2 linked regions of the Drosophila melanogaster genome follow. The protein of the gene in region 2 interacts with the protein of the main gene of each other region in a pairwise test. Each region holds a gene or a part of one and is shown on either strand. Other genes may lie near its edges. The genes, in order: CG3078 and SMC1.

Region 1 (12,267 bases), on a different chromosome or scaffold from region 2:
GCCGGTTGCGCAGGGCGTAGTTCACCTCGATGAGCTTCCGAGTCTCCTCCACGTCTCCAAACATGCACTGGTAGAAGCGCCGGAGCAGCAGCGGATCTGTTAATACACATATGGTACGATACAATGAAGTTTTTGCTAAGGAGTTAAGCCCATGGAACTTTGCACATTACGGGAATATTAATTAATTCAAACATCGTGTTGGACATATTGAATTGGGAAGTGCGGTTCGATTTAGGGAGACTTGCCTGTACATTCACTGTTTGTATACAATTGACTACAGTGACGTAAGGCGGCGAGCGGAGCGGCCTACTAACGACCTAATTAATGGACGGTGGGTGGTGGGAGGTGGAATGGGACTGATGGGCAGTGAACGGATGTTGGATTCCCGCACGGTTTTCGGGCTCATCGCTTACCAATCTCCTTGGGCAGCTTGTCATTTTGCCGGAACCACTCGAGGAGCTCCTTGAGATCCCGTTCCTGCTTCCGCACCGCCTGTTCCGATGTGTCGCTATCCTGTTCCCGCTGCAGCTGCTCGGACGTACCGCTCGCCCCAGTCTCTCTCACACCTATGCGGCTCATTGGTGCTGTGGCCTGGGTATCGATTGCTCCGTCGCTGTTCCCTCCGCCAGGTTGGTCTGCTATCGGCTATCGGACGCAGCAATCGCTTTCGAATCACTTTCAAAAACGCTTTCGAATCACTTTTAAACCTTTGGGCTTGACGCCTGGCAGCCGACTGACTGACAGTTGCGCATCGATTTCGCTCATCGATTTAGTTTTTGAATATTCAATGCTACTGCGTTGGCAATTAAAGCCACGTAATTTTTTAATGGCTTTTCGGCCATCGTTTGGACGACGCTTAATAGTGCCTAAATATGTTCCGTTCCAGCTTCTGGATCTGCCTAATCACCTGGTCGTGTGCCGCATCCCAATGCCATCGCAAGTAGTGACACAATTTTCACTTTAATTGATAATTCGCGGGATGGGCAATTTTTCTAAGAAGCGTTTGTTTTTTGTAATCATAGAAGAACATTGAAAGCCACCTGGCTTTTGGGTGTAATAAAACCTCATAAAATGTAATTAATATAATTTATTGTTTTGTCAAGTATATTGTTCCCATTGCTGTCAATCAATCGACAATAGCCCCTTATTTGATAATAGAGAAATTGGTAAGAAAATAATAAAATATGAAAATAAGAATTCTTAATGGAGGGCCAGCTTCACTGAGCTCTAGAACCTGTAAGTGTTTCTGGGACTTTCCCAACTAATCGATATCTTCGCTTGGCAAGACGCGATGCTTGATCACATTTATGTTTATATCACGTTCGATGATCAGGATATCAGAACCAGGACCACCGACTCTTGCTCTGAGCGGCCACCTTCCAGTACCGCTCGTCGCTGAGATAAGCCCTATGAAGTACAGAATGGGTGGCTAAGATGGACATCCCCATCTAAAGGTAATACTCACGCGTTGTCCCTGATGGACTGAATGCCTTTCGCCTTGAGTTCCGCTACAGTGCCCGCCTTGCCGCCGTACTCGTTCGGCAACATGTCCCTGGGCACTTCTTTGTAAAGGCTATCCATACCCTCTGTGTGGTACCGGATCTGCAAGACGATTTGGTTAGCTAGTGCTTAGAATGAAGTACTTTTCAGGTTCTACCATGTTGCGGACTTCCTCCCTTAGGAAGGGCGACATCATGGATATGAGCTTGTCCAGGTAAGTGGGGCAGTTGATGACATGCATGGCCTGGAGTCGCGAGGGATAGGCTTCCTGCAGGAACTTCATGTAAACACGCAGCACGAATATGGACACGTAGGCCAGGTGGCGTAGGGTGTAGCCCCCAATGTCCACAATCTGAACATCGCCCTCGGCAATGTCCGCTTCGTCTAGTACGTAATCAGCTCCGCTTCCTGTTTCTCGCTCTACATCCGGCTTTGTGAATCGTGCATCACTCATCATGACAAAGATTTTGGTCTCCTCGACAGAATTCCGCTGTGGGAATAGCACAATTGTGGATCAATGAGTCAACAGGGGAAACGGACATCCGAGTCGAGACACACCGTTCGTGGATCCAGATCGGCCATGCGGAAGAAGATGAGCTTATTTCCCTGGGGAGTGACTCCGGGTAATATCAAAAGGTCCCTGTGAAGGGCAAATGTTAATACTCGCTCATTGAATCTTTTGCTGCACTTACGAAACCCTCAGGCCCTCGGCGGTCATCTCGTCCTCCATGTTGCGATCCATGAACAGATGTGGGCTCTTATTGCGCATACAATAATTTAGCTCCGCCAGGGCCTTGGTGCGTTCCACATCAAAAGCCGTGCACTTGAGGAATCGTAGCATAACTATTGGTTCTATCGGGAAGAATTGGAAATTTTGATAAGCTAGATGCTACTGCACTCACAACAAAAGATACATTGCAACTATATGAAGATAGAATTCTCAATTCTCAATCAATGTCCAATGTATCTGTGTGCATATGGCACTAGCTAAGTGCATGTCAGTCCAACTTCAGCAAGGAGGAAGTGCCTTGCTATCACTGGAGGTGCCTAATGCACTTGACCTTTGGCACTGCTCTGTTACAAGGTTTATGGATTGTTACCACAACAGGTTATTGCGCGCCCATTAATTCCGTCTGCCACTTGACTGGTTATCAATCGGAGCGAAACGCATTTGAAATCGATTCCAGTGACTCACTTACCGATCTTCTCGGGCAGATTGGGATTGGCCTCGAACCAGGCGACCAGATCCGTCAGCTTGTCGCTCCATCCAGTTGCTGGCGAAGCGCTGGTCTCGGGGGCGGAGTCCTTATCCCCTGTATCTTTATCCATTGTTGTAGCCCAATGCGTCTCTCAGGGGCCGCAGAAAGCCACTAACTAAGCAAGTAACTTAGCTAAGTACCCCCAATTGATAAAGCTAACTAGCCCGATCGCACACACACATCCGCTGGAAATGATACGAGTGTGTGACCACTATTCGGACGCGATCTTTAGCTTTTCGCGATCGGATCGGCGAGTGAAAGCTCCAATGCAAAGCTCCACTAGCAGCCGCACAGATGAGTCCAGTTGTTTGCAATTAAGCAAAGACGAGGGCGGTTTTAATTGCTCCATTGGAGAGCAAGCCGAATCAGCAATACACTCACTAATAGACTTGTTTTGAAATCTTTATTGGATCTGGAGATGGACACCTACAATATACAACACACATCCAATACACGTAGAACTCGATCTTATCGTACTTGGCTTCCTGTCCCACCGGTTTAATTCGTTTGCGACCAGCTTTGTTCAGTATTCAGATGGAACCAGCGCTAAGAAAAAATATATAGTATGTCTATGCCTATGTCTATGTGTACATGTATATGTATATATACTCGTAGTATATGGCTAGCAACATACTCGTAATACTTAGCCCGATGTATGAAATCGTCAAGGGTCGCAAAATGGTTACTCTCAAAATTTTTAAAATGTTAACATTGTTGCTTTTAGACCTTAGACCTTAGGATTTCACCTTGTTATCATAACAGTTTGCAGCTAGTTTTATCTGAATCTGGTTCTGGATCTGGATCTGGTTCTGGATCTGAATCGGGATGCATCTATGGGGGTAGGCAAAAGTGGAGGGTCTCGAAACCTATATAACGCACATAACACCGACAACACATACATACATAACATGCTTTAACTCTGGAGCGGATCGGATAAGATCTCTCTTCGGCTTATAAACTGCAAACTGGAGTTCCAATTAAATACACCTATGCCTTGGAGTTTACATTAGGAAATACACACAAAAACCTTTTTTTGGAGGAGCCTTTGGCGAAATACATAAATGTATACAGATACGGCAATTGATATCGTATCCATTTATCATCTCAGATCGGATATACTGGTACATATATAACGTTCTACATGCTAGATGCTTATTGTGGCTCATAAAGCTCTTCTCTCCTCTTCTCATGTTCTTCCTCTCTTGCTCGCTCGCTCGCTCGCTCGCTCACTCTCTCTCTCTCTCTCTCTCTCTCTCTCTCTCTCTCTCTCTTGCTTACTCCCTTTCTCTCTATTTCTCTATTTGATAGATAGGTTATAGACATGGAACAACATTACTGGCACTGGCAAATGCTATAAATTGAGAATGCACCCACTGAGAAGGGAACCCCCCATGAGTGTAGATCAAACCTATTAACTAGTCTTATCCTCTAGGCTCGTGGACAGAGGTCAATAGCCGGCTTTGCCCCCAGTTAAAACATCCTTCAAACTGTATCCCTCTCCGAATCGACCAACTTCTGTCCACAGAGCTTGAAGTGTAGCTTGCGTCGCTTGACTTGTGTCTGTCGTTCCATACTGACGGGCTGCGATTCGAGCAGATCTGGCCGCCGACCCGGATCCGGATCCAGTTCTCCGTCCGTATCCGTATCCGAAACATGTCACATGGTGTGCGTCCGGGCCACGACATCCCGTCGCATTCGTCGGGACTAGCTGAAGATGCTGCGTCATAAGCTGACGAGCGTCGCCTTGCGTTGCGCCTCCAATCGGATTTCCAGAGTGGCATATGGCGGCACACTGATGACGAGGAGCACCACCAATGCAATGATCTTCATCGATTCGCAGAGGAAGCCGTGACCGGCAAAGGTCAATCCCAGTCCCAGGAAGCGAAGGGCAAGAAGAGGCGCCTGGACCTCCGTTACATGACTGGAATGGTTGAGGGTGACCAGCGAGAGCAGGAGCGTCTCCCACATCCCATTACAGGCACCCCACGAGGCGGCAATCACGTAGAACAGGGCGCTGTCGTCACTCGAGGGCTTCCAACTGGACAGCGCCAGCAGTAGACAGGAGTGGAAGAAGAAACCAGCCACTGCAAAGAGAAGAGCGTTGTAACTTCGAGTACCCTGTGTCCATCTGGTGGTACTCACAAATCACGACGATCCTCTTGACGTGCCTTAGCAGCATGCTCAAGGTACAGGAGACGATGAGCTGCATCAGACCCATGCCAATCAACGCGCCGGCAATCATTCCGATGCCCAGCGAACAGGTGACGAAGGCCCTCAAGAAGTCACCCATCATATACGCCTGTTCCGTGCCCACAAAATAGGCCAGGGGTCCGGCAAACAGCAGGGTGTCCGTGATGCTTACATCTCTCGAACGCTCCGGTCGCGATGAGCCTATGGCCTGCACCTTGTCCACCACTATCAGCAGCGAAAGGGTCAATGATACCATGGAGAACAGAACGTACAGCCAGAGCAAGGATTGCCCGGCCACTCGAGGCTCACTTTCGATGAAGCCAGCATAGATGGAACTGGGTATGGAGCTCCCATTGGCCCATCCCGCCTCCAGGATTGACTGCACTCTGAGTGGACACATGTCTGCCCCACAGATCCTGTCGCCGTGCTCGTTCCTATTGTAGAAATCCCTCAGTTGTGGTGGCCAGCTCTCGTTTCCATAGTAAACCAATCCGGAGCAATCGCCCGTAAAGTTTCCATCGCTGCAGGCCAGCAAAATGGATGCCAGAAGGGCTCCTCCTATGAGACCCAGGTCCTGGGAAACCCTGAACCACCTGGCCAGACGCCTCACCTTCTGATCCCGATTGCAAAACATCTTGTGCTCCTCGTGCAAGACATCGACCGCCGCCTGCGACTGCTGGGAATCGCAGGAGCAGCTCAACTTCCCTCCAAAGTGGACAATCAACGCGGCTTTGGAGCCAGCGGATCCGCTTAAGGTCATGCCAAGCAGCAAATAGGCGGGTAGAAGGGTGTAAATGGAGGCGTACAGGTGCGACAGAAGAAATAGGAGCACTGTCATATAGTTTGCCACAATTAGTGGCCCATAACCATATCGTTTCATCAGTCGAATGCTGGGCAGGCTCATACCAGCGGCGACCAGGAAGAGAGCACTCAGCAGAAGGGATCCAACCTCCGGACCGAGGGGCAACCATTCCTCCCGATGGTGCCACACCGCATTGGAGCCCTGGAGCGCCATCACCGGCAGCAGAACGCAGTTCATCAGTCCGTGGGCCAAGCTTAAACAGCTAAACTGGCGCCACACTTTTTGGCGCACATGGGCTGGCACCTTGTGCCGGCAATTCCTGTTGTTCAGCGTTATCAATCGCCGTATGGAGGTGGCTCCAATGGAGCTGTTTATGGACTCCCGACGACGAGAGGCCGCCAGAGCAGCCTGCACCTGGTACGAGGACACCGGATTTATGCGATGCGACCTCGTCGAAATGGGTGACGGCGAGTATGTGGTGAAGTGCTGCTGGAAAAGATGCAAGAAAAGGGTATTAGGATATAGCAAGAATCCAATCATCTGGCAGGCTAATGGTATTACAGCCAGCTACCTTTCACTTTAACAATAGCAAAGGGGGAGTAGTCGGAGTAGGGAAGTAGTTGTAGTTCAACTTGGAAAGAGAGTCCGTGTCCGAACACTCACCTTTCACGACACACCAATGACCACAGGGCACCCCTTTTGTGCACACATCGCCACATGATAGTTGAGTGTCCAGGAAAAAAGGGAGATAAGCTCCCAGATTCTATTTATATGCGACAGGTGTCACCATGCCGGAAAGCAAGTGACATGAATTATATAAAGGCTTTTCACACAGAGGCGGACTTTTTATGTGTTCACCTGAGAACTCACCTCCATCATCTGCTCTTCCCAGACGTTCTGGGCTCCTCCTGAACTGCGGGTTCGAAGCACTCTGTGCCTGGTGGTCAGCGAATGGCGGTGCTGATGGTGCTGGTGCTGGTGCTGATGCTGGTGCTGATGCTGATGGTGGTGTGAGTGTGGGGCATACTTCTTGCCCAGTCCCAGCATCGCAAAGCCACTGGTGGCCACCGGAGCTCCCGAGCTGGTGGCCAATCCAGAAGCTGGGCCCACTGCCTGGTTCGGACCCTTTCCGCCAGTTGTCCCATTGCCACCGAGCAGCTCTCCGTTGCCTGTTGCAGTTCCTGAGGTGGCATTGAGGCTCAAGGATCCGCCACCAATCCCCAGACCAGCCATTATGTAAGCATTATACGACGATTGCTGAGTGGAGTAGAAAAATACATAAGTCGTAAGGAGGGGGGATCTACTCAGGCGATCTCACCTTGCGCTGCTGAGCAAACGCGGAGAGACGCTCCCGCTCGCGACTGGTGTCCCGAGCCCGCTGCTCCAGCAGAAGTTCGTACTCCCGTCGCTTCTCCCGCTTGCGCTCCGCCTCCTCCAGCTCGTGAAGATTCGGCAGACTGCCCATTTCCGGCGATTATTGCCAACTTATCAAAACCTAGCGCCCGTAGTGCGAGTTATGTGGATTGTGGGGCCACTGCGAATCCAGTACTGCCATCGCTCCAAAACGGCGAACTCATGCTGCTGCTCCACGGGCATCCCATTCCAATCCAGTCTGCAATTATTGTCCTTGCTGCGTAGGCGGGTTCATTGTCCGCCGCCGACCTGCCACGCCCCCAATTCCGCGTATAAGGCTGTGTCAAAACGCAAATATTGTTCTCCTGCAGCGGAATGACTGTGAAGTGGAAACAGGAAATGAAAAAGTTGCGAGGCCTGAACGGCAGCGCCATCTATCGGCTGCTTATCGAGTTGACACCTGCACCTGGAAACCGTTACTCGCACACACACACACATACACCTGGCCGTACGTGCACTGCATACTTATGTGGGCCATAGGCCCTACGTATGCGCACATGTTCTTTCCGTTGCCGTTACCGTTACTTACTCACTACATTCTGGCACATTCACTGGCACTCGCGGTCGCAAAAATAGGATGGTGGGAATAATAAGCTTCTAGGCTAGCTAATCCTAATCTGATTGAAGTCCTAAGGAAGTGGCACCTTAATGCTCACCAATTAGATTGAGTTTCCACTAGTAGGATTACTTGGCAACTCAATAATGTGCCTATTAGCCGCTGCTATTAGTGCAGCCGCGAGTATAGCTCCCTTGGCCGTAGGAACTTCGCACACACACCCCACCCCCCACACTGGCACAAAATCATCAGGTGTGTCCATTTTGTGTTATCTACACATGTGCAGCCGATGGTGCCCCAGGGTCAGGTATTCCGAGGTATATTTCCAGGACACGACGGGATGGTGCAGGACAAGATCCTGGGGATGCCCGGAGGGAACAGGTCCCGAAGACAATGGCACAGTACTTTGCAGCCCATAATCAACTCATAAACATCATAAACTAACCCCCACCCCTCACGAACACCACACACCCATGAAGTGAACTGCGATGGAGGCGTAGTTTTGGGCCCACGCCCCTTGGGCCAGGAAAAGTGGGTGGGAGTTATAAAAAATGCAAAGAGGGCGGATGGAAAACGAATATGAATATTTTAAAACCAAACAAAGACGGGCACAGAAAAGCGCACACACACTCTCGATGCAATGCTCCCTTGAAATCCTCTTGGCCTGTACACATGTATCCACAAACGGAACCCCGTTCAGCAAACTAAAAAAAAAAATCGAATAATATACTTTGTTTATTACTTTTGATTTCTCGGTTGACTGGAATGCACTTTTTTTCGACGAGTCGGAAACAAATTGTTTGTAAGCCTTCAAAGAAGCCAGCACTTTCGCCACTCAACACTCCACAAAACACCGCCGCACGCGAACTGCTCCAGAAACACACTGAAAAGCTGGTAGGGATTACGGCCTGGCGATTCTGAGTCCGCTGCTGAAATTGTTGTCATCTCAGGCCTTCGGCAGCATCTCGCACATCCCACCTCGCATCCCAGGCATGCGCAATCGATACTCGTTACCCCACAATCCCCAGTTCACTCGGGGAAGGGATGGGATGTCATGGCTGTGGCTGCACCGCCACAAAACGATACCATCCCATATTACAACTGCTCTGCGCAAAAGAAACCCCCATACAATGCATTTTGAGTGCTCATTACGGCCATTACCGAATCGATATTCTCGAAATGAACGAGCCGAACTGGCTCGACGTTCAAAACTGCATAAAAAAGGCGTCGTCTATGATTTGGATTTATTTAAAAACTAACTGCAATTGGCTAACAACAAACACGTGCATGGCATGGCGATAATCGGTTAAGTTTTACTTCTGAACAAAGGGCTAACAAATCGTGCCCGGATCAGATTAAGAACAGAAACGAACAGGTAACGCTAATAGATATCGAAATGCAATTGGCGGACCAGTGAGATCCGTTGTCATATCGGGCTAGTTGAACTTTGTCTTTGGATCGCACATTTATAGTAGAGTAGAATAGAGGCATTTCCGTTTCCAAATCCGTTTTGAATCGTCTTCCTTTCTAGTATTTTACTCTTTAACAATTTGTCTTGCACAAGTTTCTGTATTTTTGGGACGATAATTAGATAGGAAATAAAACACACGTCTTTATACACTTGCCACATTTCAGAACGGATGGGCAAACGGAAAGGCCGGGAGTGAGTAATTCTATTGGGGTAGATTGATTTGAGCTTTATCAGGTCGCGCTGTCTAGTCCGCTGGATATCCAAAGCTGAGGTGAAGATTGCACCACCGCCGGTGCTTACCACCCAGGGTGGACTCCTCGCGCCGTACGGCACTTAAAAACGGATTATCTTCAAAGTCAAAGTTGCCCAAATGCGAACGCAGATCGCCTGACGCCACTGGTAACAGTTGGCCATTGGGCAAGCCCATTTGCAGGCGCACGCACTGCTCCACGATGAACTTGAGTGCCGCACGGCGATGCAGCTCGAAGCAATCCCGCGATCCGTACATCAAGCGCTGCTCGGCACACAGACGCATATCGTTGGCGGCAACGTTGCAGCAGTAAAGAAATGATATTAGCCTTTGCTTGCTCACGGAACTCAGATCCACATGTGGTAGCAAGAGACCCAGCAGATCCTCAGCGTTGGCTTCACATTCCAGGCCATAGCTTGTCATTAGATGCTGCAGACTGGCCAACGTAGACGAACCACTGGCTCCGGAATCCTTGGGAAGGGCAAAACTGAGCTCATATGCACGACTCAGGAGCACTTGGCGGTAGTGGTAGCAGCTGTAGTCACTGATGTGCTTCCGCATAAACTTCTCCGTGCGTAGCAGTTCCGATTGCAGCAGGCATGGGCCGTTCTGAAGGATCCACTGGCGGTGCGACCAGGCGTGATAGTTGCTGGCGCATCTATCGGCGGCCCTTTCGCATATCCCGATCTCATTGGGCCAGTCAATAGCATCGGCACCTGGAAATAATGGAATGAAATGGGATCCCCAGTTGCCGACGTCCACTTACTTTGAAATGAGTACAGCCAACGGCGGTAGGCGAATGCTTCATTGGACTTCGGTTTGATTGAGAGCACGAGTGCGGAGAACTGCAGCTCCTTGTTGATGCTCAGCCGATTCTTTTGCACCAGCTGACGGCGGATGTGCCAAAAGGTGGTCACATCGGGATTAATCAGCAGAGCCACGTTTAGGTATTTGGCCAGGGAGTCGCTCTGCTGCTGCTGCTGCAGCGTCCGCAGCTGTTGCGCCGTGGTTTGACGGCGATGGGAGATGAGGGTGCGGTGGGCGTGGTCGTAGACATGCTGGGCACACCACGATTCCAGGCCCAGATTGTGCTCCACATGCACAACCGGCGATTTGTTGCAGTTGGCTTCTTTGGGTATAATTTCAAAGGAGGCGCTGGTGGAGAAAAGAACAATATATTCGGACATCAAGGCTTGCTTTCATTGCTAACAGTCTGATTAGATCTATAGTAGAACTAAATGCTGGACTCACAGATCCTGATCCTTGAGGAACACCGCATTGATGTCCCTGATGATCTTCTCGCAGAGCACCTTTTTCTCGTTGCGTTCCTCCTCCATGGAATTTGAGTATAGTCCGAACGTGGAATTTCAATGGGGATGTGGTTTTTGCTTCCTCGGGGATCTCGCTTCCGTTCCGTTCGATTCGAGGGTCTCAGGCACATTGATTGCCTCCAATTAATATGAACATGCTCAATGTCTCCGGTTAATTAAGATTTGGAAAGGGGAGGAAGAGGAGAAGATGGCGGAGGCTGGAACCCTGTCTACGCGACTATGGAACCCCCAAAGGCGGCCGCATCACAACAAATAAATTTCAATTAAGCCGGGGCCTGGACACGAGATCTAGCCTTTATTATTATTATTATTTCAGTGCCCAGTGCGAGGGGCTGTCAATCTGGTTCACCCCAAAGCGCGGTTCTCCGGCGGATCGGTCCGCAAGCTCGGAAATGTGTTCCCTTTTTTTGGCGACGGTGAGCATATGTTTGTTTGCAAACATGTGTTTGGTGTGCACAACAACAGAGGAGGCACTTGCCACGATAACCTACTAACCGCGACGTCAGAACCAACTGTCGGGAAAATGGCTATTGAAAGCAGGCATTAGCTGGGACATTAGAATTTTTCAATTTTTTTTTCCTTTTTTCTACAGTCAGTATTATCAGTACATTTGCTACATTCATATATTTTTTCAGTATTAACGGAATTATTTCTTAAGTATATGCGTTTAATAAACAGTTGATAGCAGAATGATTAAGATATTTAAGAAAATTTATTGAATTCAATGAGCACCTCCGTATTTGTGTGCACGCGGATTTGGCTAAAAACCAAAATGTTTGCCACCACTGTTACATTCCGCTGGTCACACTCTTCCCATCTAACACGTGCGCGCCCGAAAGAGATTTAGTAGAAATACACAGACAGGATGCAGAACTCCTTTCTTCCACTGAACACACGGCGTTTTCGACAGCGGGCCCAGGTGGAAACGCCGGATACGGTGTACTGGGACCGACTGGCGGTGAGTTGTATAGGACTAGGCAGAGAGGCTCGGCAACCAAATCATTGTTTCCCCTCTGCATTCCACAGAAACCAGAACTACTCAAGGAGCACAACACCATCGATTATTTGGACTTCAGTCCAAGCGATCCTGACAACTTTGTTGTGACCTGTTCGGTGCGCGTTCAGATTTACAACCTGGTGACCATGCTTGTGGTAAAGAACCTTTCCCGATTCCAAAAGACCGCATACGGCGCCACCTTCCGGCAGGATGGTCGACTCCTGGCCGCCGGCGACGAGGAGGGCCATGTCAAGCTATTCGACACCACCAGTCGCAACATCTTGCGTTTGTTCAAGGGACACACGGCACCAGTACACCGCACCTTCTTTACGGCGGACAAGCTGCAGCTAGCCAGTTTTGGAGACGACAAGTCGGTCCGTCTGTGGGACGTGGCAAACGAGAAGGTGGTGCAAACGTACGAGGACACGCACACCGACTACGTTCGTGCAGGCGCCATGCATCCGCAGGCAGGGCATATGTTCGTCTCCGGCGGCTACG
Region 2 (11,325 bases):
GAAGCGAAACAATAGGCCTATAGACAACTACACTTGGACACCCAGAGATGCTAAATCAGATCGTTCGGTTTATATTCGTTAAATTTTCCATGTAAATAGTCATTATAATTATTATTGTGGTCTACGCTGAATTGTGACGTGAGCAAATTCAGCGGTTATCCCAGGAAAACCGAAAGTTGTAAACATAAATCTAATATTTATTACGAAACTTCATATGTGTGCTTCTTGCAAATGCTATGATTGCAAAATTAAAAACGAAATACAAAGCAAAGAGACGAAAGAGCAGAGGGCAAATCTATTAATTAGTAATTATTATAATGTGATGTTATATATATAAATCAATCTTTAACAAGAAACCTAAAGCAAGTAAAGCAGAAAAATAAAAAAAATATACAAAACTGTTAACCAACGTAACAAATTTCACTAAGTAGATTTTTCGAATTAAATTTAAATTATAATAATAAAAAATTATAGCAAGAAAAGCGGATAAAAAACAAAACAAATTTGCTGTAAACACGATATAATAAAACTGCGTTTTTCTACTAAAAATGAATATGTAAAATGATTTTTCAAACTTAGATTACCTACCCCATATTCCTAATTATATAAAAACCAATTATATATATATATAAATTACGAATTCTATGTAAATGTTGTGCGTATATAAAGCAAAGCGTAGAATCCCACATTCAAAATCTTTCAGTTATTTATTATGTGTGTGCTATATCTTCTCTATGTATACATAAAAAGAGCGCTTGGCTTCGACTAGCTAACATTTTGGGCCTTAAACCAACCTACTCAAGCCGGGGCCTTGGTGTTCTTCTTATTACCCAGCATTCTTCAGATCGATATATCTATATACCCCTGGGGAGGGGAGCAACCCACACACTAATCGTTATTCTATATCTACGTGAATGTGTTCGTTTCTAAACTTGTAAAAAAGCACGCACCCCTCTCCGCTCAGACACGAAATGTTTGTAAAATATTGAATGAGAGAAAACGATGGAAAATACGAAATTAACCTATAATATTAATACGATTTTCGAGAGTAAAGGAAGAAAACATTTTAGTTTTTCTACTTGAATCGCATTTCTTCCACTTTTCACCAATCAAATTAAATTTACATGAAAAAACGATACGAAGAATTGAATTTTGAGTCTCTTCAATCCTCAAGCTCAAAACCCTAACAAAATTAAAACAAACTTAAAAATAATGAAGTTTCTAGGTTCTATTATTTAGTTGTCTTGTTATTTATATGTTTAGCTTTAGTTCTTGTCTAATTTATTTATAAGTTTTGGCTCCGCAATAAATACAGACAATTATATATATTTTTCTATAATTTGTTTCATTTTATCATTTTATTGATTGTGAACGAAAAAGGAAAAAAATAAACTTAGAAAAAGATAACAAATAAATTGCTAAATTTAAGCGCAAAAGTTCAATTAATAAAAATTAGAATTTTAATATTAACATAATTTGGACTATTTATATATACATACGCATATATATACAACTCTATATATGAATAATTAGTAACAAATCAAATCAATTTCCATAACAACCGCCAGACAAAAAAAAAAAACAAAAAAAATATATATATATTCTTAGTGACGAGTGCAACAAAAATCACTCGTGCAATTGTACTTTAAAATTGAATAAAATTCAAAAAAGAAAAAAATTAACAGTGGAGGTGGAAAAGGAACGAATGGAATGGAATAGAGCGTTACGTGCAACTCTGTTTTGCGTAGGGTTGCCAACGCCAACATGCAGGCAGCCTTCAGAAGAGGTCAGCAATAGTCGAAACACAAGCAGACGCACTCACACACATGGCTTGAGATGAGAAGAGCGAAAGGGACAGATAGAAAGCAGTGGCTTCAGCGCGATGTTGAATTGATAGATTGATGATTATTTTTGGTGAATGTGTCGTGCATTGGGAGCAGCAATTGCAACAATAATTCCAGGCATATCGAAGCATTTTTACTCAGCACTCAGACGACAGCAATCAGCGAAATCGGCAACCAAAACTGATGGCAATAACAAGCAAAAGAAAACCAATTCGGGATCAGAGAGCGAAGACAAACAGGATGATGGAGAAACCACACACAGAGACACAAACATACACACACACAAACACCATAACAATAAAGGACGAACGCAAACAAGTAAATACTTAACGGGATTCACATATGTATATTCAAGAAGCAATAATGAAAGTATATTTCCAAGTATGATAAAACAACCAAGAAAGTCGAGAACTAACATGATTAAATATTTATACATATATTTTAATTATAGTTACAAATTAGCATATATATAAATTATACATACATACAAACATATATACCGAAGATAGTCCAAATAATTTAGCAAAGAATGAAACCAAACGAAGTAAAGTTTAATATTTACAAAATATTAAAAATATCAATGTGCAATTTAACAAGCGTTTAAAACACCACACTGACACAGCCACACAAAAGTAATGCTACACCTATATATACACACATATGTAAACCGATTATAAACATTATATATGCGTATATATAAACAAAGTCGATACGAACTAACGATCCATTTAAGAACAAGAGAGAAGGCGAGCGACGAACTTTAGTGGCGAAAAACAAATTAGTTTTGTGTGCGCACACGAACACCACAGTAAACCCTACTTAAAAGGAAATCAAAATTCAACTAACAAAACCACACGAAACCAAACCGCGCTAAATGCTACAAAAAGCGGTTCAAGTCAAGTTTTTGAGCAAATACTCATAATTGTTAAAAATGTTTAAATAATATAATAACAAAAGCAAAAAAAAAACACAAAAAATTAATTAAAAACCAACAAAAATCCGTAACAAAAACAAATTGCATATTATCATATATTTTCTCTCTTCTTAGACAATTTAGTTAATTATGAAAAGTAATGAAAAAAAACCACATTATACTTAAGTGTTAGTCTTATACATAGAGAAATGTATGATTAATAAATGCAGAAAAAGAAAATCATGGAACAGCAGCCGATGAAAGTAATATGTGAAGAGCACAGTAACAGCAAAACAAAAAAAGTGAAAACAAATTTAAAATAAAAACCAGCAAAGAAACAAAATCGAAATGAGAAAAACAAAAGTTAAATTAAGAAATTAGATTTGCCTTTGTGTTAATATCAAGTGTGTTTCTTATTACCATTATTATTATAATTTTTTCATTTCCAATTGGTCAGACGTGTGAAATGATTTCCTTACATATTGATTGAGAAATAAAAAGTATTAAACAAAAAAAAAAGCTATAAATGGTGTTTTTACTTACTCAATCCTCCCTCGGCATGGCATGGTTTCCTCGGATCATTAAATATAACTCAAAGTAACTGTTTCTAACTTACATATTTCCTTTCCCCCTGCAGGAGGATAGCTTATCAGTATGGCACCGGACTGCCACTGATATGACCAGTACAACACGTATCCGTGATACGTTACGCAGGATATTAAATATACCTCTAACAACGGCATTGGAGTATAAGATACACTGTGATAGCCTTAAATATGTTTCAATGTAAGTAAGCGGAAAGTAATATTTTAACTGCCAACTAGACAAGCTTGTAGCTATTAGAGAATATTTGCATAACTATCGTTAACTAATCTGGTAATTCGAATACCACCTGTACCATACGCAGGCCGAGACGTCAAAATCATAAGCTGGGAAACCTTTTTTATCGAAATCGATACGGCTTTAATTCAAGATACGGAAAATCATGATACAAAAACCCAACTCGATTATCAAGATATTAGTGAAGTGAATTAACTTTTAATTAATGATTTGGGATGGGAAACCAGCAGTGGCCATGCTCATAAGATCTTCGAACTAAATATCCAATATTCTTCTTCTTCCTTTTTTTTTTGCAGTAATAAAGGCCCATTGAAAAGCTGAAATTCAGTGAATAACTATAAACAAAAGAAAAACAAAAACAATAATTACACAAACAGATAATATAAGTCGGTAGTGAAAGCAGCAACAGCCACAACAGTTCATCGACAGCACAGGACAAGAGTTACACCAACAGCAAGCACAATGAACCATCCTGGACACAATAGAAGAACATCATACCCAACGGAATCAAAACACCAACCATGAATGCCGCATCGAGAACGAGGACAACCCGAAGATCAAATCCACAGAAAGGCAAATTAATATTTAAGCGCTAATGAGACAAATCTTTGTATTTACAAGTGTGTGTATATATGAAACGCCATAAACATTTTAGTTCGTATGTATAAAGTATAAATTAGGCATTCCCTATTAAAGAAAATCAGAGTCCCACTAATTGCACAGAAATCGAAGCCTGAAGCCTCTCGAATCTGGCTTAATCGATACTATTTTATTTTTTTTTTTTTTAGTTTACCAAACCTTATCTCAATCTCCCACAGGCGTGCCCTTGTATCGTAGCCTTATCGATTATCGCCATAGCCGGCAGGCAGCCAACACACAAAAGATAATAATGAATCAATGAAACTGACACACTAACTAGCCGATGCAATATTTATCTGTTTGCAATGATTATTTTAAATTAATGATACAAACCGAAACTGAATAATCAAATTGTTTGTTTTTGTTCTTGATGAAATACAAAAAGTTTTTTACGTGAAGAAAAAAAAAAGAGAAAAACTAAAAATTGAAACTAAAAGCAAAAACCCAGTTGTTTTACATATACCAAAAGCATCCATCCATCAAACCATAATTTCACACATCCAAACACATTTAACTTTCTCCGGTACAGTACAACCAACGCAAGCCTAAATAAAGGAAACTATTAAAGTTGCAGAACATATTTTCAAAACATCTAAGTGGTTCCTATCTTTCTTTGAAGTAAGTATAATTTTCGAATTACTAGAGTGTGTAATGGAATAGTTTGAAAAATTGTACGTCTACACATTTACTGGCTTTATTAATTGGAAATCCCGAGATTTACTTTAAAGTTACATCTAATACTTAATATACATCCGACATATGAACTTTACGTGTCCTCGAACGTTGTCAAGTCCATTATGTAAACATTTGATACGAGACAGTCGCCTTCCTGGAAGTCAAGAGTAAACCAAAATTAGGCTTGCCTAAACTTACACCAGTTGAGTACGTACCCCAGGCGTAATGCCCACAAGAGCATCAGCATGACCATAGAACTCTTCCTTCAGGGAAATGACGATGGTTTGCAGGTTGGTTGTGTGATCCCTTATATACGAAGCGACTTTGCCAATATTCGTGTTGTCCAAGGCGGCATCAATCTCGTCAAGGACAAAGAACGGCGCTGGATGAAAGCTGCATAAAAATATATTAATATTTACTCTCAAAATGTGGAAAAATATTATATCTGCATACCTGTGGGTCGAGAAGAGCAGAGCCAAGGCTGCTATTGTTTTTTCGCCACCACTCAAGTTGTTCATGGGTTGGAAACGTTTGCCTGGCGCCACACAATTATAGTTAATACCATCCAGATATGGTTCCTCAGGATTGTCGGGACCGATATAAGCCTGGGCTGCCTCGTTGCGAGCCAATTTCTTGTAGATGCCGTCAATGGCGTCCGATATGTGCTGGCAACACGCAACGAATCGCGAGGAGCGTTCGTTCTTAACCCGTTCAAATGCCGCCTTGGCCCTCTTTGCTTTCTTGCGCGCATTCTCAAACTCCTCATTGGTGGATTGCACTTTTTCCGTTACAGCATCGAGTTTCTGCAGTGCTTTCATGTTGGGTGTCTGTATGCGCTCCAAGACGTCCAGCTTGCTTTGCAGGTCCTTTTGAAGCATTTCGTGGGTCTTTTTGAAAGCGGAGTCATCCTTCAGCTTGGTATACTCTCGTGGTAGAGATGAATAATCCACTTCAATACTGAAAATGAATCAATAACGTACTTTAGTTCAGTTGTTTTTGATGCTGTGATTAAATAAACTTACATATTTTCCATCGCTGCAGAGGTGGATGGGACATCCGGATCGCTTTGTCGCACTGCGTCGTCCAGCGAGCCGCGCAACAGTGGTACCACGATGCAATCGGTCTACAGAGTGAATAATACATTATAAGACAGAGTAATAGTTATCATATAATTACTTTAACTTACTTTTGCTTGCAACAGTATGTTCTGACGTTCGTTTTTCTTGGCCTCGATCTTAGACTCTACCGCAGATAAATGACTGCCCACGTTATGGATCTCCTTGGCCAAATTTGCCACATCCTTGCGAGCTTTAGATATGTCCTCTTCCATGTCATCCACGGCTTGCTTCTTGGCCTGCTTGTCCTGCTTGAATTTTTCCATTTTCTCCTTATCCTCGTCGATTTCCTTTAAATAGCGTGCCTCAGCCAATTTGAGTCCCTCTAGGGCATCTTCCTCATCCTGCACGCTGCGCTCCCAGCGCTCAACGTTTTCTGTGAAGGCAGGCATTTGTTTGGCATTTTAAAAGCATAGTATTTTGTATACTTACTTTTAGTGTCTTTCTGTTTCTCGAAGTCCAGCTGCGAGTTTATGGAATCAATCTGCTGCTCGAACTCAGCCCGTTTACGCGCTCGCTCTTGCTGCATGACGAGCTCACGCTCCTCGTATTGTCGTATGTTCTTCACGCCCAAGCGACGGCAGAAAGAGGCATATACTTTGTCCTCCACATTGTTCATGTTTTCTTTGATTTCCTGGATGTGCTCCTCGCGGTTTTGCATACGACGCTCGATCTCAAGGATCTTGGGCTGCAAAATTGGGATAGACAAGATTATAAATTAGGTTTAATTTTGTAACTTGAAAGGGAAACTCACTCCAAATTCGTCCAACTGCGATTGGACTTGCTGCAACTGATTGTCATACTGACTAATTGACTTCTTGGAGGACTCCAAATCGACCATACTATATTTAAGCCTGTTTTCAAGACCCTTGATCTGCGACTCCACAGTGGCGAGCTCACTCTGCTTACGTGACTTTTTCACCAGCTCCTTGAGCTCTTCTTGAAGGCGCTCCTTCTGCATTTTCAGCTGAGCCATGTGCTTCTCGTCCCATCGCTTAGCTTTGCGAGCCAGATCGTGACTACCGCCAGATATGAGACCCGATTTCTGGTAGAATGTTCCGTCCAGGGCCAGAGCATCGAAACGTGATCGGTCTATCTCGTAAGCCACTTTCATGGCGTCCTCGGGAGTCTCGCAAACGAGAGCATTGCCTGTGGCGAAGAGCACAGCCCGTTCGATCTCTTGAGGCTCAAACTTTAGTACATCGAAAACCAATCGCACGTTCCGCGGGTCGCTGATGTTACGAAGTCGTTCCTTCAGAGGCTTAACTTGCAGATAGTCCAAGGGCAAGAAGGTTTCCACTTCCAGCATTTGCTCCTTCAAGATCTATAGAACATATAAAATCGTCAATGCTTACATGTAAATCCCAGTTGATCAACTGAAACCCACCTGAATACAGTGTCTAGCCGTCTTTTCGGTGTCCACAATAATGGCTTCCATGAACTTGCCCAAAACTTTGGTGACGGCCACATTGTAGCGTTTATGCGTCGGCTGACACATGTTAATCATACGGTCGTACACTCCGGGAACCTGTTTTTTGAAGAGCTCCACCACCTCCTGCTTCTTTTTCCTACGAGCATCCTCGTGCTTGTCGCTCTTGGCATCGCCCAGTTGATCGCGTACGTCCTCCAATTCGCGTTGCTTTTCGGCTATCTTCTCCTTGGATGTGCCAACATCTCGCCGGAGCTCGTCCTTGATCCGGTTCTGTTCCTCCAAGGCAGCCTGTGATGATTTGATGTGATCCATCAGTTTGTCTCGACGCTTTACAGCTTCCTCGCGCTGTAATGTGAGCTTCTTGAAGGACTCCTCTACGGAGGCGCGACGATTTGTCTCCCCATCAAGCGTGTCCTGTTCGGATTTTTGCTCCCGGTTTACTGAGTCCAGCTCTGAACGGTACTGCGTAGCTGTGGCTTCCGCCTCCTGCTTCAGGCGATCGTACTCTTGCACAAGGCCCTCTTCCATGTTAACGCTTTTGCCGCGGCGCTGCGACTCGTTCTCGATCTCGTCCTCGAAACGTTTTTTCAGGGCCTCCACATCAGCCAGCTGCTTCTCCAGTTTCCGTATGTCCGACTGATGGGCATTGTCCGCCTCCCTGGCTGTTTCCAGAGTCTTCTGTAGGGAAATGAGCTTCTTCTTGCAGTGGGTAACTTTCTCTTTGGCCTTGATGTAAAGGGGCCTGCGTTTGTTCATCTGGGTTTCAAACTCTCTGATTTCCTGATCGATTTTGGCCAGGTCTCGGGTGATTTTTCCGGCGTCTTTCTTCTTTTCGCGCAGGATTTCATCGGCAGCTTCTTTTCGCTGTTCGACTGCTTTAACTTCCTGTTGCCTCACTTCCAAATCGCTCGTAAACTTCCGGATGTCCCTCTCCACGTGGAATAGCCTAAATAATTGATACTCCACTTGTTTTTCATTCTATTAGAATAAAAAGATGTAGCTAATTGGATAGAGTTGGCAGAATAAAGAGTCATACGTATTCATTTTGCAGGCGAGTGTAGCGATCAGCTTCCATCTTCTCGTGCTTGGCTTCTTTTCTTTCCGCCGCGATGCCCTTCTTCTTTTGGTAAGTAAACTGGGTCTCCTCCTCGGCAACAATCATTTCTTGTTTAAGTCGATTATAGTCGTCCTTAAGCAGGCCAGAACTGGAAAAGTGAACACGGGTCAAAAAATCCGGATTTTAGGTAAAAAATTAAAATTTACCCGCTAATTTCCTCAAATAGAGCAGTGCGTTCCTTGGGTGTCTTCATGGCTATGTTCTCAACAGCTCCCTGGAATACTAAAAAGTTCTTGGCCTTAACATTGATGCCAATTTTCTCCAGCTTGTTCAAGTACGTGCTGCTCGATACGCTCTAAATGGGGGATATGATTAATTGGCTAATAAGAGGATTGGTTGTCAATACGAACCTCTCCATTGATACGATATTCCGAGGAGCCGCCGATAACCGCCCTCTGGAAGTCCATGTGGCGCTCCTCGTTCAGCACAAATTTGGCGGTCACGTAGCAACTGCGGGAAACGGGCTTGCCAATGGAGGAGCCATGGATGAGGTCGTTCAGGCGCTTTACTCGCAAACTGCTGGTCTTCTCGCCCATCACGAAACTGATGGCATCCATGAAGTTTGACTTGCCTGATCCGTTGGGCCCAATAACAGCGTTGAATTGCTTCAGAGGACCCACAACTATGTGACCGCGGTAGGACTTGAAGTTCTCCATTTCGATGTACTCCAGGAAGGCCGTCTCGTCGTCCGGCTTGCGGACGGGCGCCGTCGCCACCCTTTGGGCCACATCGTCGTCCTCTTCGGTCATTCACACGCTCGATTGCAACAAATATCCAAGAAAAATAACAATATGAGCGCGAAATAATTTTTTTTCTCTTATGACAGTATGACCGTATCCGGCTAACGCCATCAATATCAGACGCTAGAGATGGCAAGGCGTAGAAAACAAACTATCGATGGGATACATCAGCGATAGTACAATTTTCATTTCAAATTAACCACTATCGATTACTATCGGTCGTCTTTGTTTACAAAATACAATTTGTAAACAAAAACATTTTAAAACTAATGAATAATTTATAATCTTGGGCTTATGCGAACCGAAGGCATTTTCGGTTTAAAACAATCATCACTGTAGATTTTCCAATGGCTTGTTCTTCATTTCAGGATCTTTTCATAATACCCTTCAAAAGGTCATGGAAATCAGAACTATATATATATTAATATGTACAATTATCTATACATTTTCATATGTATATTCATAATGCAAGCTGAGATTTTTTTCATTTGCTCTTGCATCTTAAAATTCCCTATTTATAAACACATTAAAGATTGTATCGATCTACGAAGTATTCTATATACATCCTATCTATGTACATCCTATATATGTATCTATATATTTATGTATCCTGGATATAGAGCAGTACGATTCTTTAAATTTTTGGAAATAATTAATTGGAATAATTAAGTTTTGAAAAGTGTGTTCAACTTTTAAGGTAATTGTATGTCATATTCTGCAGAGGAAATATTCCAATCAGAAGAAAAATACACACATATGTATTGCACATATAATAAAAGAGATATAAACCAAAAACAGAATCTAAAAATATGAATGGCTTAACGTATCAATCCGCAAATCAGCCAAAAATAGCTTGCATACGAATTTAGTTTAATGACCACTTGGAATGATGACCTATGTCAATAAAAAAAATATATTTCTCGAAATTTCCTGAACTTTCAGTCCTTTCAACTGACAATTTCCCCTGCGAAGTGCACACTAGTTGACTCGCTCGCACACACACGAACTGACTGGAATGTTCTGACCCTTTCTCGCAGGGAAATCTCGAATTTTCCCCTCCCGGCGACTGAGTATAAATACGGGCGCAAATTTCCCAGACGCTACATTTGAAATCAAACAGCCAAAGTGAAAACACTTCAGCAAACGAAAAATAAAAAGCAGTTCAGAGTGACAGTTGAAAACTGAAACGTCTTTACCAAGTGAAAAAATAGAAAAGCAAAACGCAAAGAAGCATACAAATTATTGAAAACTATCCACAAGAAAACGCACCCAAGTTCAAACTAAAAAGCAACAGAAATAGCCAAGATGCCAGCCATTGGAATCGATTTGGGCACCACATACTCCTGCGTGGGAGTCTTCCAGTACGGAAAAGTGGAGATCATTGCCAACGACCAGGGTAACCGTACCACACCATCGTACGTGGCCTTCACCGACTCGGAACGCCTTATTGGAGATGCCGCCAAGAACCAGGTGGCCATGAACCCCAAGAACTCTGTGTTCGATGCCAAACGCCTGATTGGGCGTCGTTTCGACGATTCCAAGATCCAGGAGGACATTAAGCACTGGCCGTTCAAAGTGATCAACGACAACGGCAAACCAAAGATAAGCGTGGAGTTCAAGGGCGCGAATAAGTGCTTCTCTCCCGAGGAGATTAGCTCGATGGTACTCACCAAAATGAAGGAGACTGCAGAAGCCTACCTGGGCACTACAGTGAAGGACGCTGTCATCACAGTGCCGGCCTACTTCAACGACTCCCAGCGCCAGGCAACAAAGGATGCTGGTGCCATCGCTGGCATCAATGTGCTCCGCATCATCAACGAGCCAACAGCGGCGGCTCTGGCCTACGGCCTGGACAAGAATCTGAAGGGAGAGCGCAATGTGCTGATTTTCGATTTGGGCGGTGGTACTTTTGACGTCTCCATCTTGACCATTGACGAGGGATCCCTGTTTGAGGTGCGCTCGACTGCGGGAGACACACATCTGGGTGGCGAGGACTTCGACAACCGATTG

Evidence for each region.
Region 1: the proteins of SMC1 (region 2) and CG3078 interact in a two-hybrid assay, tested with the Drosophila melanogaster proteins (one large-scale study listed by BioGRID).

What each region holds. Positions count from the first base shown.
Region 1 is NC_004354.4:2,251,259-2,263,525, forward strand, and holds CG3078 (uncharacterized protein), read right to left. Parts: upstream 8,606-12,267; 5' UTR 8,463-8,605; intron 7,484-8,462; 5' UTR 7,217-7,483; coding exon 7,070-7,216; intron 7,009-7,069; coding exon 6,622-7,008; intron 6,241-6,621; coding exon 4,902-6,240; intron 4,844-4,901; coding exon 4,482-4,843; coding exon of another isoform or gene 4,416-4,481; 3' UTR 3,145-4,415; downstream 1-3,144. Other genes in the region: CG3191 (uncharacterized protein), read right to left, coding at 1-96, 414-579; CG3091 (uncharacterized protein), read right to left, coding at 1,338-1,407, 1,466-1,602, 1,658-1,990, 2,059-2,140, 2,193-2,352, 2,700-2,829; temp (tempura), read right to left, coding at 9,436-10,157, 10,208-10,596, 10,693-10,778; CG3071 (uncharacterized protein), read left to right, coding at 11,638-11,730, 11,799-12,267.
Region 2 is NT_033777.3:24,056,400-24,067,724, reverse strand, and holds SMC1 (structural maintenance of chromosomes 1), read right to left. Parts: upstream 9,439-11,325; 5' UTR 9,325-9,438; coding exon 8,926-9,324; intron 8,871-8,925; coding exon 8,722-8,870; intron 8,664-8,721; coding exon 8,495-8,663; intron 8,437-8,494; coding exon 7,414-8,436; intron 7,351-7,413; coding exon 6,781-7,350; intron 6,715-6,780; coding exon 6,459-6,714; intron 6,403-6,458; coding exon 6,098-6,402; intron 6,035-6,097; coding exon 5,934-6,034; intron 5,869-5,933; coding exon 5,365-5,868; intron 5,305-5,364; coding exon 5,127-5,304; intron 5,066-5,126; coding exon 5,003-5,065; 3' UTR 4,910-5,002; downstream 1-4,909. Other genes in the region: Hsp68 (heat shock protein 68), read left to right, coding at 10,621-11,325.